Macaca mulatta: one gene and its partners. The protein of the gene in region 2 purifies or fractionates together with the protein of the main gene of each other region. This does not show direct contact. Links are inferred from orthologs where the notes say so. Each region holds a gene or a part of one and is shown on either strand. Other genes may lie near its edges.

Region 1 (3,500 bases), on a different chromosome or scaffold from region 2:
CAGTGCACTGCATGCACAGATGGGGAGCCCATGCCCATTTGGCTGCTGACTCTCCCAGCAGCAGCCTTCCCTCTGGTGGAGGGCCCCTCTGGCCTCGCCAGGCCAGGGCTAACACAGATGAGTCTCTTTCCTGAAGAGCAGCTCAGAGAAGCAGAATGACTTGCCCAGTGTCCCACTCATGAAGGAGACTCATGAGACTCATCTTATGAGTCTGTGCTCATCATATGTTAAGTCCATTCTACGAAACTTTCCCTGCCAGCCCAGGATCAGAGCGAGTGTTCTTCCTCTGCTCTCCATCAGCAAGTAGCTTCTAGGCCTCTGCTCTGTAGCAAGCAGTGGAAGAACACCATATGAGGTGGGCTCCATGTCCTAACTTAAGTCATAGCCTGGGACATCCAGGCCCTGTCTCAGAGAGTAACAAGCTAGTAAGAAGGTGGACTCTGCCAGATAGGAAACAGAATGTGTCAGATGACTAATCCAGGTGAGTACAGTGGCCATTGCTAGTTTTCATAATTGCAAAAGGCTTCAGATAGGAGCTGAAGGAAGGAAGGAAGGAAGGAAGGAAGGAAGGAAGGAAGGAAGGAAGGAAGGAGGGAAGGAAAGGACTTGGTCTGGAGGGAAAGGAAGGAAGGGCTTGTTAGGGAAGAGAAATGACCAAAGCAGAGGCTGCTGCCTCTTCTGAGCTCCTGAAACTTACCTGCATCCTGACTACTCACCTCAGAGGTTGTGGCTTACTTATGTATGTGTCTGAGTCCCCATACTGGAACAACAGAAGGCAAAACTCACTGCCCATCTTTATGTTGCTAGTGTCCAGCCCAAGAGTGGGCACTTCGTGACAGCACTATGAGAGCTGACTGAACGAGCGGATGAATGGGAAGAGGATGTGTGTTTGGGAGTAGTGTTACGAAACAGATCTTTCTTTCATTACAGATATCAAGCAGCTGACTGCAGGGGCAGTAAGGCAAAGGACAGAAAAGGCAGGCTGGCATCTCACACATGAAAAGTCTAAGATATTTACAAGTTACCCTGCAGGTAAGAAGGGAGGAACTGGGGGAAGGACCAAAAGTTTAGGAAAGTTGAATCTGGTAGTAAGCACAGGAAGGAACAGAAAGAGTGTGAAAGCAGAGGGAATCTCTACTCAGCCCCTCTAGATTAGTGCAAATGTCCCCAGCAAGCACGAGGCTATGGATATAGAGACCTACCAGAGCAAGGGTGACTGCTGCCTCATACACCCACCTCCTATCCTCTCGGTGCTCAAAGTACCCCCGTCCCCGGTTTTCTTCATAAGGCCTCTTTCGACTCTGGAATTGCTGCCTGTCTGGCTTGAGTTGAGAAGCTTCAGGCGGGAGGAAGCTGGTGGGTGCTCCTTGCTTCATCTCTGTCTTCATTTCTATTGTCAGGACAAATTCAGACGGTCAAGACACTTGCAAGCTCCCCAGCTATCACTTTTCTGGTCCCTTTTCCCTTGGGAGATGTGAGCAGGATCCTCACTACAGTGATGAAGGGCTGGGCACAGGCAGCTTGCTGAGTTCAATAGAAGCCTGTTGAGCCAACCAAGGAGGCCGTACTGGAGAACAGGGCTAGGATCTGAGATGCCATGACCCTACATTCTCCAATTTCTCCTCCCGAAGAACCTCAGTTCTTACAAAGCTTCTTCAGTGTAGCAAGGGAGGGGGAGAGGATGAATTCAACAGGGTATTGTGGTCCTGCAGCTAACTCTACGGGCTTTAGTTGCCCTACCCACAGAGGCCAGAATCACTCCGGTTAAGCCATCCTATAGGTGCAATAACCTCTTTAAGTCATACCACTAACAGAAAGTCAGGATGGGATACCGTGCTGTGGACCATGGGTAAGTCCTAGTCTCAGGCAGACTCCAGGAATCAGTGCCGAACCAAGAGCAAACTATAGATGTAGGCTAGCTTAATTTCTCCCACAGCGTTAATCCCTGATGCCGAGGCTCATTCACATCTACTCATTTCTGCATTCAACCCCAGACCATTTTGGATCATTCCCCAGCTTTGGCATGTGGATCACATCACTCGGAAAAGGCTCCTGGTTCTCTAGGGCAGGGATGGTGCTCAGCCATCCTGAAGAGAGCCTCCCTGGTTCCCAGCAATAGGTTGGGCTCACACAGGGCTCCTGATGAATGTCTGTGGATAACGGCACAGAAAATATTCTCCTGGGGCTGAATGATCCTACAAGTCTCACAGAGCCTGACACAAATCTGCAGTTTAACCTACATTCATTAAAGTTCTGAGCCACCCACAAGAAATGTCTGGGGATTTAACTTTGTGGATGAACCAGAATGGCATTAGACAAAATCAACCAGATACACTAAGAAAAGGCACTGGGGGGCCACAACACAGTAAGAGCAGCACAAAACTGGGGGTCAGTCCGGGCTCCATCAGTTCTCAATAGTGGGACCCTGCTTTCCAAATAGTAAGGCACAAATGATAAGGAATGCTGCTTATTTACCAAAAGGACTAGCCTGGGAGCAAGTTTCCTAGGTTCTAGCCCCAGCTCTGCCATCGGACAAGCCAACTCCTCAATCTATAAAATGGGGAGGAGAGGCCAGGCGTGGTGGCTCACACCTGTAATCCCAGCACTCTGGAAGGCCGAGGTGGGCGGATCACGAGGTCAGGAGATCGAGACCATCCTGGCCAACATGGTGAAACCCTATGTCTACTAAAAACACAAAAAAAATTAGCTGGGCGTGGTGGCATGCCTGTAGTCCCAACTACTCGGGAAGCTGAGGCAGGAGAATCACTTGAACTTGGGAGGCGGAGCTTGCAGTGAGCCAAGATCGTGCCACTGCACTCTAGCCTGGGCAACAGAGCAAGACTCTGTCTCAACAAAAAAAAAAAAAAAAAAAAAAAGGAAGGAGAGAGTTGGCAACACGGGGAACTTTGTTCTATAAAAATATATACTTAACATGCTTGGGAAATCCTAAGTTTAAACAATACAACACAAGGTTTTTTGTCTATTTTTCATTAAAAAAAATATTTTCGGCCGGGCGCGGTGGCTCAAGCCTGTAATCCCAGCACTTTGGGAGGCCGAGACGGGCGGATCACGAGGTCAGGAGATCGAGACCATCCTGGCTAACACGGTGAAACCCCGTCTCTACTAAACATACAAAAAACTAGCCGGGCGAGGTGGCGAGCGCCTGTAGTCCCAGCTACTCGGGAGGCTGAGGCAGGAGAATGGCGTAAACCCGGGAGGCGGAGCTTGCAGTGAGCAGAGATCCGGCCACCGCACTCCAGCCTGGGTGACAGAGCGAGACTCCGTCTCAAAAAAAAAAAAAAAAAAAAAAAAAATATTTTCAGCAACACCAGCCCACGACGACACAAGGTTTTTAAATTTAATTAAAAAAAATTTTTTTTTGGAGACAGAGGCTTACTGTTGCCCAGGCTGGAATGCAGTGGTGCCATCACGGCTCATTGGAGCCTCAACTTCCTAGCTCAAGCCATCCTCCCACCTCAGCGTCAAGAGTAGCTGGGACT
Region 2 (4,141 bases):
TCCCAGCACTTTCTCTGGGCAGCTGAGGTGGGATGACTCCTTGAGTCCAGGAATTCAAGACCAGCTTGGGCAACAAAATGAGACCCCATTGCTACAAAAAGAAAAATAAAAAAGTTATCTGAGCAAGGTGGCACATGCCTGTGGTCCTACCTACTCAGGAGGTTGAGGCAGGAGGATTGTTTGAGCCCAGGAGGTAGAGGCTGTAGTGAGCCATGTTTGCACCACTGCACTCCAGCCTGGGTGACAGTGAGGCCGTTTCTCAAAAATAAATAAATAATAAATAAAAAATAAATATTTAAAAACCTTGTTTTAATATAAGTTGGACAATTTATATATAAGAGCATTGGCTATAAATGTATGAAATTTATTCTACCTCACTATTATTCTTTTTTTTTTTGAGATGGAGTTTCGCTCTTGTTGCCCAGGCTGGAGTGCAATGGCATGATCTCAGCTGACTGCAACCGCTGCCTACTGGGTTTAAGCAATTCTCCTGCCTCAGTCTCTCCAAGTGGTTGGGATTACATGTATATGCCACCATGTCTGGCTAATATTTTTTTTTTTTTTGAGAGGGAGTCTTTCTCTGTTGCCCAGGCTGGAGGACAGTGGTGTGATCTCAGCTCACTGCTTCCTCTGCCTCCTGGGTTCAGGTGATTCTCCTGCTTCAGCCTCCAGAGTAGCTGGGATTACAGGCGTGCGCCACCATGCCCAGCTAATTTTTGTATCTTTAGTAGAGATGGTGTTTCACCATGTTGGCCAAGTTGGTCTCAAACTCCTGACCTCAAGTGACCTGCCTGCCTCGGCCTCCCAAAGTGCTGGTATTAGAGGCGTGAACCACCGCACCTGGCCAGAGTCTCTCTTCTTGATTACCTCAGCCAAAGTGTTTTCTGAAATGGTACCACAGATATGTGCTTCCAGTTCCGTTTGTAGTAGAGGGCATGGCATGTACCGTCATTCACCCTGCCTGCTCCATCTGCATCCCCCTCACATCCAGCAAGTTTTCCTTTGCATAGGGCTTATTGCTCCCCTGCTGATCACCTGCCAAAGCCTTCTCTCGGAGTTAACATCCTTGCCAAGGCCTAAGTGGCTTTTGAAGATCAGGCCCTGCTTAGCTCTGGGCTCCCGTCTTTCTTTTGATGTCCTCTCTACTTTTCTCAAACCTGTCAAAACTGGATTCGGACTCTGTGGCCCTGGGGTTGGAAACATGCTTCGTCTGCATCTTCCCAGGGTGGCACTTAGGCCTGCACTAGCTAAGGTAGCCCTGCGGCAAGGTCCAACCCTGCCTTATTGTTAATTTGTTTATTGTCTGTGTCCACTAGAGCTGGGGTGAGGAGGGCAGCCAGCTCAGACCTGGGGAGGCCTGGGAGGCTACGGCATCTTCGGTGTTGGGCAGTGCTGTTAGAAACCACGAACATTACTCATCTGGCAGCATGTGTGCACATGGGGTGAGCCGGGGGTCTCCTCGAATGCGGCGTCTACGCCCGGGGATTGGACGCACTGTTACCGATTCTGTCCTGGGAGATTCAGCGGTAACCTACCGGGCAGAGGCCGGCACGCACCCGTGGAGAAGCCCGCGCTCGCGATTCCTCCTCGTGCCAGGGCCCCAGGGCACGGAAGGCCCACCGACCGTGAGGCGGGTCAAGGGGTACACAGGGTGCGAGTTCGTTAGGCAAAAGCTGGGTACAGGCGCGAGCCACAGGCACGGGAACCTCGCGCCGACCGGGGCCCTAGGCCCGACGACCGCAGGTAAGGGGAAGTGGAGGCACACATGGCTGGGACGTGCCCCAGGCACCATCCGGGTGGCTTCGGGCGCGGGACGTCCGCAGCCCCGCAGCTCCCAGGACGCTCGACCATCTGCGGCTGATCAGCTTCGGCCGGTTTGGGGATAAAGGGGAGACAGGCGGCGCGGGGAGTGGGAACGCCTGAAGGCCGCGCCTCTCCTTTCAGGTCGGCCAGGAGCGCACCGGTAAGAGCCAGGGGGTAAGGGGTAGAAAGACGCCCACCTCTTCAACCCAGAGCTCGGGACTCCTATACAGTCCCATAGGGAACAGGCGGCCGCCATTCCCCTCCCCCACGCTGGCGGGTAAGGCTAGAGAACGGTTTCAAGGAAGACGCATGCGCATGAAACAATTATAAACCGCTAAGACTCCCAAGTTCAATATTCGCGGGAAGGCGCATGCGCAATAAAAAGCCCGGCGGGTTTATGGGTGGGGGTGCTGCGCCCAAATCCCAAGCGTGTAATAATCCGCCGGCGGACGGTGGGCTGGCTCTTGAAACTACGCATGCGCCAGAGCTCTTTGTGACGCAACGGGGCGGTGCGGGCAGCTGGCTGCGCGTGCGCAGAACTCGCACAAAGGGCCTTATTTAGGTTGCGCAGGCGCCCGCTGGCCATTTCGTCTTAGCCACGCAGAAGTCGGGTTTCTGGGTGAGTCTCGGTGGGTCCTCGCTTGCAGTTCACCGACCACCGTGGGCGCCGTTTTTGCGAGGATTGGTTGTCCTCATACCTCTGGGAGGGCCACGGGGACCTTGGCGAGCTGCGGGCTGCCATCGAGAGCCGCGAGTGGTTCGCTGAATGTCGGCACCGCAGCTGAGGCCTGCAGGCCGCGCCGACTCTATTGTGTGAGAAGTCGGAGGAGGCGGAGCGGAAGCGGCCGCCGCCATTTCCTTTCCTCCACGCTGGCTCGGCCCGGGCCCCCACGGTTCGGGGCGCCGACGGTTGCTGCTCAGAACAGCTTTTGGGGGTCCGGCCGCCGGACGAGGAGGTGTTGGGTATTGGAGCCGCCGGGGTGGGTGCATCCCCCCGGTTTTTGCTTGGTGGGGGGGCCGGTGCGGGCCCGGGGGCGCCTCGGAGGCGGAGGACAGCTTAATTGGCGCTCTCAGGTCTGGTCCTCCCCGCCTTGCAGTTTGTTTCGACGCCGGACCGCGTAAGAGACGATGATGTTGGGCACCGAAGGCGGAGAGGGATTCGTGGTGAAGGTCCGGGGCTTGCCGTGGTCTTGCTCGGCCGATGAAGTGCAGAGGTTTTTTTCTGGTGAGTTAGAACTAGGACGCGGGAGTTCGAGTTCGAGGCCGGGGCGGGCGGGCTGGCGGGCAGCCGGGCTGGGGCGGGGCGGGGCGGCGGGACCCGGGGCGCCCCCTGGCGAGGCGCGGGCGACTGCACTCACCGCCGTGTGGCTCGCGCCCGGCCGGCCGCGGTTACGCAATGGAATTTTCGAAAGCCCCGCCCGTCCTCCTGGCCCTGCGGGGGGAGTGCGGCAGATCTGGCAGACCCTTTGATTTCTTTACTACCTTTGAACACCAACTTTTCTTTTATGGATGTCGTTTTTCTTTTTCCTTTGTGTTGGGAGTCTCTGTCACCCAGGCTGGAGTGCAGTGGCGCGATCTCGGCTCACTGCAGCCCCCGCCTCCTGGGTTCAAGCGAGTCTCCTGCCTCAGTCTCCCGAGGAGCTGGGACTAGAGGCGCGCACCACCACGCCCGGCTAATTTTTGTTTTTTTAGTAGAGACGGGGTTTCACCATTTTGGCCAGGCTGGTCTCGAACCTCTGGACCTCAAGTGATCAGCCCATCTCGGTTTCCCAAAATGCTGGGATTACAGGCGTGAGCCACCGCGCCTGGCTCCGGTGTCTTTTTGCGAAAAGATGAATTGGCATAGGTGGGTTTCCTCCTCAATCTCGAGAAAATTGCCGAGTAATTAGACCAATAATAGTAATGTTTTTCAGTATCTTGAAGTGTAATCTCTTGTTTCCAGTTCTGGTGTTTCCTTGAAAAGGAGCATTCTTCGGAAAGTTAAAATGTCACGTCTTAATTTCAGTTTTCCTAATCAAGATTTGGTAATTGAAGAGTGTGTGCTCATCTAGTTCTTAATTTGGCTGACTATACAATTGAAAACACTGAAACCCAGGGAAGTGTTTTTGCAGTCCCTAGGTTTCCTGAATATTTTCTATCAGAATGTCCTTGTTCCCATTATTAGACTGGGAAAAATTAGACTGATAAAATTCTACTTGTATGAAATTGACAGCTTTTGGCAAGACGTTTGTAGTGTTGACTTACTATCTGAATTTAGCATTGGTAACGGAAAACGACCTGTAAAACAAGAACCAAGTACACTGGAAGCCACCTTGCAGGGGGCAACGCTGGGTTTGGC
Region 3 (3,071 bases), on a different chromosome or scaffold from region 2:
GGAGCAGACTCTGAGCTCAGACTGCAGTTTCTGATTGCTTGGCTTGAAGAGGCACTGTGTCTTGCACAATGATCCAGGGAAAGAAGTGGCTGTAACGGAATTATTTTCCCCAGCTCAGCCACTCTTAGCCACTATTTAGTGACTGTGGGCTGCGCACCACAGGCCCAAGCGTCCCATCCTGCACAGTGCTCCCACAGTCTGAGCCCCAGGGAGGGAGCTGGCTGTGCCACTTCACAGTCTTGTCCCACGTGGACCTATTAGTTCCCTGCTGATCGCCTCAGTCTGAAGAGCAGCCAGCTTCTTGGTATAGTAAGAAATCTAGTGTAGCCCTCAGAGTCAGCTGCAAGGCGTGCCTTAGGATTTGGTTTAATCACACATCAGTCTCCCTTTTTTCCTTCCTCCTTAGCTCCCATTCGATTTCACATGGAAGATGCTGAAGGACAAATTCAACGAGTGTGGTAAGTGTTGGGAACGGCTTTCTAGGTGCCTCCCTCATGCTTACTGGTGATGCAGCCAAGTCAGCAGCAAAGCCTCCCTCCCAGCCCCCTCCATCAGCTCAGGACCCATGGCCTTGCCATTGTTCTGCCCACGCCAGTGCTCAGGCAGGTTGTTGAGTGTCCTGTGATGTGTCGCACGTTTTTCACCTGTGTTCTCATTTCATCCTAATTTCCTTTTTTCTTCCTTTTTGAGGCTTTTGAAACAAGGTAGTAGTGTCCCCATTTCACAGATGAGTCAGTCTTCTCAGGTCACCTGGCTTCTAGGTGGCAACGCTAAATAAAAACATCCCAGACGAGGGAGGTAGCTTTCCCCTTAGCACAGCTGGTTCAGGGCCTCGGAGAGAACACCTAGCCCAGCAGGTGCCATGGGGAGGCGCTGCAGGCTCTGGGCACACAGCAGCTCCTGTGAGGATGAGGCTAAGGTCTCCTGGTTTCCTGGCACATCCTGCTACTCTTCTGGAGGGCTCCCTCTGTGGCTGAAAGCAAGTTGTCTTCCTTCCCTGCCCTCCAGGGTGAGCCTCCACCCCTCATGCACCACCTCTGTTCTTTTTAGCTAGAGGGGCCTGAGCTAGAGGACAGGGCGGCTGCTTCCGCACTGCCCTCCCGCTTCCTGTTTCAGCAGTGGCTCTGATTTCACCACCATTGCTGCTTCTCCATGGTTCTTGGGGCAAGCCGTTGAGTCATGACGTGCCTCTTTGCCCCGTTCTTTACCTCTTTCCCCCGTTCTTTACCTCTTTCCCCACTCCTGAGTTTCCACGTTGTAGCTAGATATTCTGAAAAGGCCAGTGGGATCACAGCATCCCCAACCCCCACTTTTGCAATGCCTGGAGGGGCCCTGTACCTTCAAGAGGAAGTCCAGACTCACAAGCCTCTTGAAGATTTGGTCCCATCCTCCTCCATCTCCCTCCTGTCCCAGAACCTGAGCGGCAAGTGCTGCACGTGTCCCACAGTGCTCTTGTGTGAGGCATTACTGGCAAGTCTTTCTGGTGAATTTCTGTGTAAGAACTTTCCCCTGAGGACCCCTCCACCCTACCTGCCCTGGGCCCTCTCAGGCAGAGTTCCTGCCTCTGGCATTGTGGCCCTAGCACCTTTGGCACTCCTGGAGTAGAGCCTTTGTCCTCTAGGGCTCTGACCTGTTTCCGCAGAGTTGACACATATCTGGATGCTTAACAGGTGCTCAGATGAATAAGTGAAACCGGCTGGCTTTCATTTGGACAGTACAGACGTGTCCATTGGATTGCGGATGGCTTTGTAACCAGGGGCAGTGGCGTATCAGAAATGAACACTTTGTAAAATATATAGCCAACTTTCTGCCTAGAAAGCTGGCTTTACTCGGCGCCCTCTTCTTTGAACTTTGTGAAGCGTCAAGGCGTGCATTGAATCCTCTAGGAAGGCTTTTCATGGGGCAGGGGCAGGCTCTGTTAGCAGAAGAATGGCAGTGTGGCCAAGGGCCTAGTCACTGGTTCCCACCATTGTATTCTGAGCCTTTGTGCTCCAGATATCAGGTTGTCTCTGGTTCTTGGGGGCAAGCCGTTGAGGCGGATTTTTTACTCTGTCCACCAAAATCTAACAATCGGGACTGAATGGAGCCCAGACAGGCTGAGCTCTGGGTTTGCCTGACAAGTGTGGTCTGTTCCCTCCCTGTCCCAGGCCACGTGCTGTACGCCGACATCAAGATGGAGAATGGGAAGTCCAAGGGGTGTGGTGTGGTTAAGTTCGAGTCGCCAGAGGTGGCCGAGAGAGCCTGCCGGATGATGAACGGCATGAAGCTGAGTGGCCGAGAGATTGACGTTCGAATTGATAGAAACGCTTAAGCAGTTGCCTTTTTTAAACATCGATACGAGACCTCTGAATTTGTATTTTTTCTTGTTAACCATTTTAATTTGTTGGCTGGATGTATAAAGATGTTTAAAAAATTCAGTTGCTTTTTGGGGTAATTTGAATTACTTTTTTAATGACTGGGGTTCCATTTGACTGTTTGCATTGAGATTGCAATGTGCGCAATTTTTTTTGTAGTTGTGGCATCTTGTTGACATCGAATATGACTTTGATAATAAATACCGGTTCCTGAAAACAGCCTGCTTGTGTGTGCTGTGTGGGCAACCACCCGAGGTGTGGGGAGCTGGGGTCACTCGAGGTTCCAGTCCAAGGAACAGGGATCTCATCCCCTCTCCTGCTTGTCTGAGGCCCCAGGGGTGAGTGCCTGCCCACAGACTGGGGGAGACTCTTCCCTGGAAACTGCCTTCCTGTGGGCTGTAATCCCTGGGCTGATAATGGAGCATTTGGCTGTTTAGAGCGCCCCGAGGCCAGGCGCAGTGGTTCGTGCCTGTAATCTGGGAGGAGGGCACCTGTAGTCCCAGCTACTCAGGAGGCTGAGGCAGGAGAATTGCTTGAACCCAGGAGGCGGAGGTTGCAGTGAGCGAGATGTCGCCACTGCACTCCAGCCTGGGCAAGAGTGAGACTCTGTCTCAAAAATGAAGAAAAGCCTCCCGAAAGCCATCCTGTCTCCCTGTTATGAGGTTAACACCCTGGGGCACAGACCCTGCCTCAGTCGGGCTTGTTCTCTGGCATTTT

What was found. Proteins that work in one complex are often made in the same cells at the same time.
Region 1: the proteins of HNRNPH1 (region 2) and HNRNPUL1 fractionate together in Homo sapiens (co-fractionation; 3 studies listed by BioGRID and IntAct, with this or other methods). This does not show direct contact. The link is inferred for Macaca mulatta from reciprocal best matches to the Homo sapiens genes HNRNPH1 and HNRNPUL1.
Region 3: the proteins of HNRNPH1 (region 2) and HNRNPM purify together in Homo sapiens (affinity purification with mass spectrometry; 3 studies listed by BioGRID and IntAct, with this or other methods). This does not show direct contact. The link is inferred for Macaca mulatta from reciprocal best matches to the Homo sapiens genes HNRNPH1 and HNRNPM.

The regions. Positions count from the first base shown.
Region 1 is NC_133424.1:52,414,172-52,417,671, reverse strand, and holds part of HNRNPUL1 (heterogeneous nuclear ribonucleoprotein U-like protein 1), read right to left. Parts: intron 1,391-3,500; coding exon 1,237-1,390; intron 1-1,236.
Region 2 is NC_133411.1:188,582,353-188,586,493, reverse strand, and holds the start of HNRNPH1 (heterogeneous nuclear ribonucleoprotein H), read left to right. Parts: upstream 1-1,341; 5' UTR 1,342-1,743; intron 1,744-2,387; exon of another isoform or gene 2,388-2,783; intron 2,784-2,900; 5' UTR 2,901-2,931; coding exon 2,932-3,028; intron 3,029-4,141. UniProt on the Homo sapiens protein: This protein is a component of the heterogeneous nuclear ribonucleoprotein (hnRNP) complexes which provide the substrate for the processing events that pre-mRNAs undergo before becoming functional, translatable mRNAs in the cytoplasm.
Region 3 is NC_133424.1:9,338,229-9,341,299, forward strand, and holds the end of HNRNPM (heterogeneous nuclear ribonucleoprotein M), read left to right. Parts: intron 1-406; coding exon 407-458; intron 459-2,147; coding exon 2,148-2,311; 3' UTR 2,312-2,571; downstream 2,572-3,071. UniProt on the Homo sapiens protein: Pre-mRNA binding protein in vivo, binds avidly to poly(G) and poly(U) RNA homopolymers in vitro. Involved in splicing.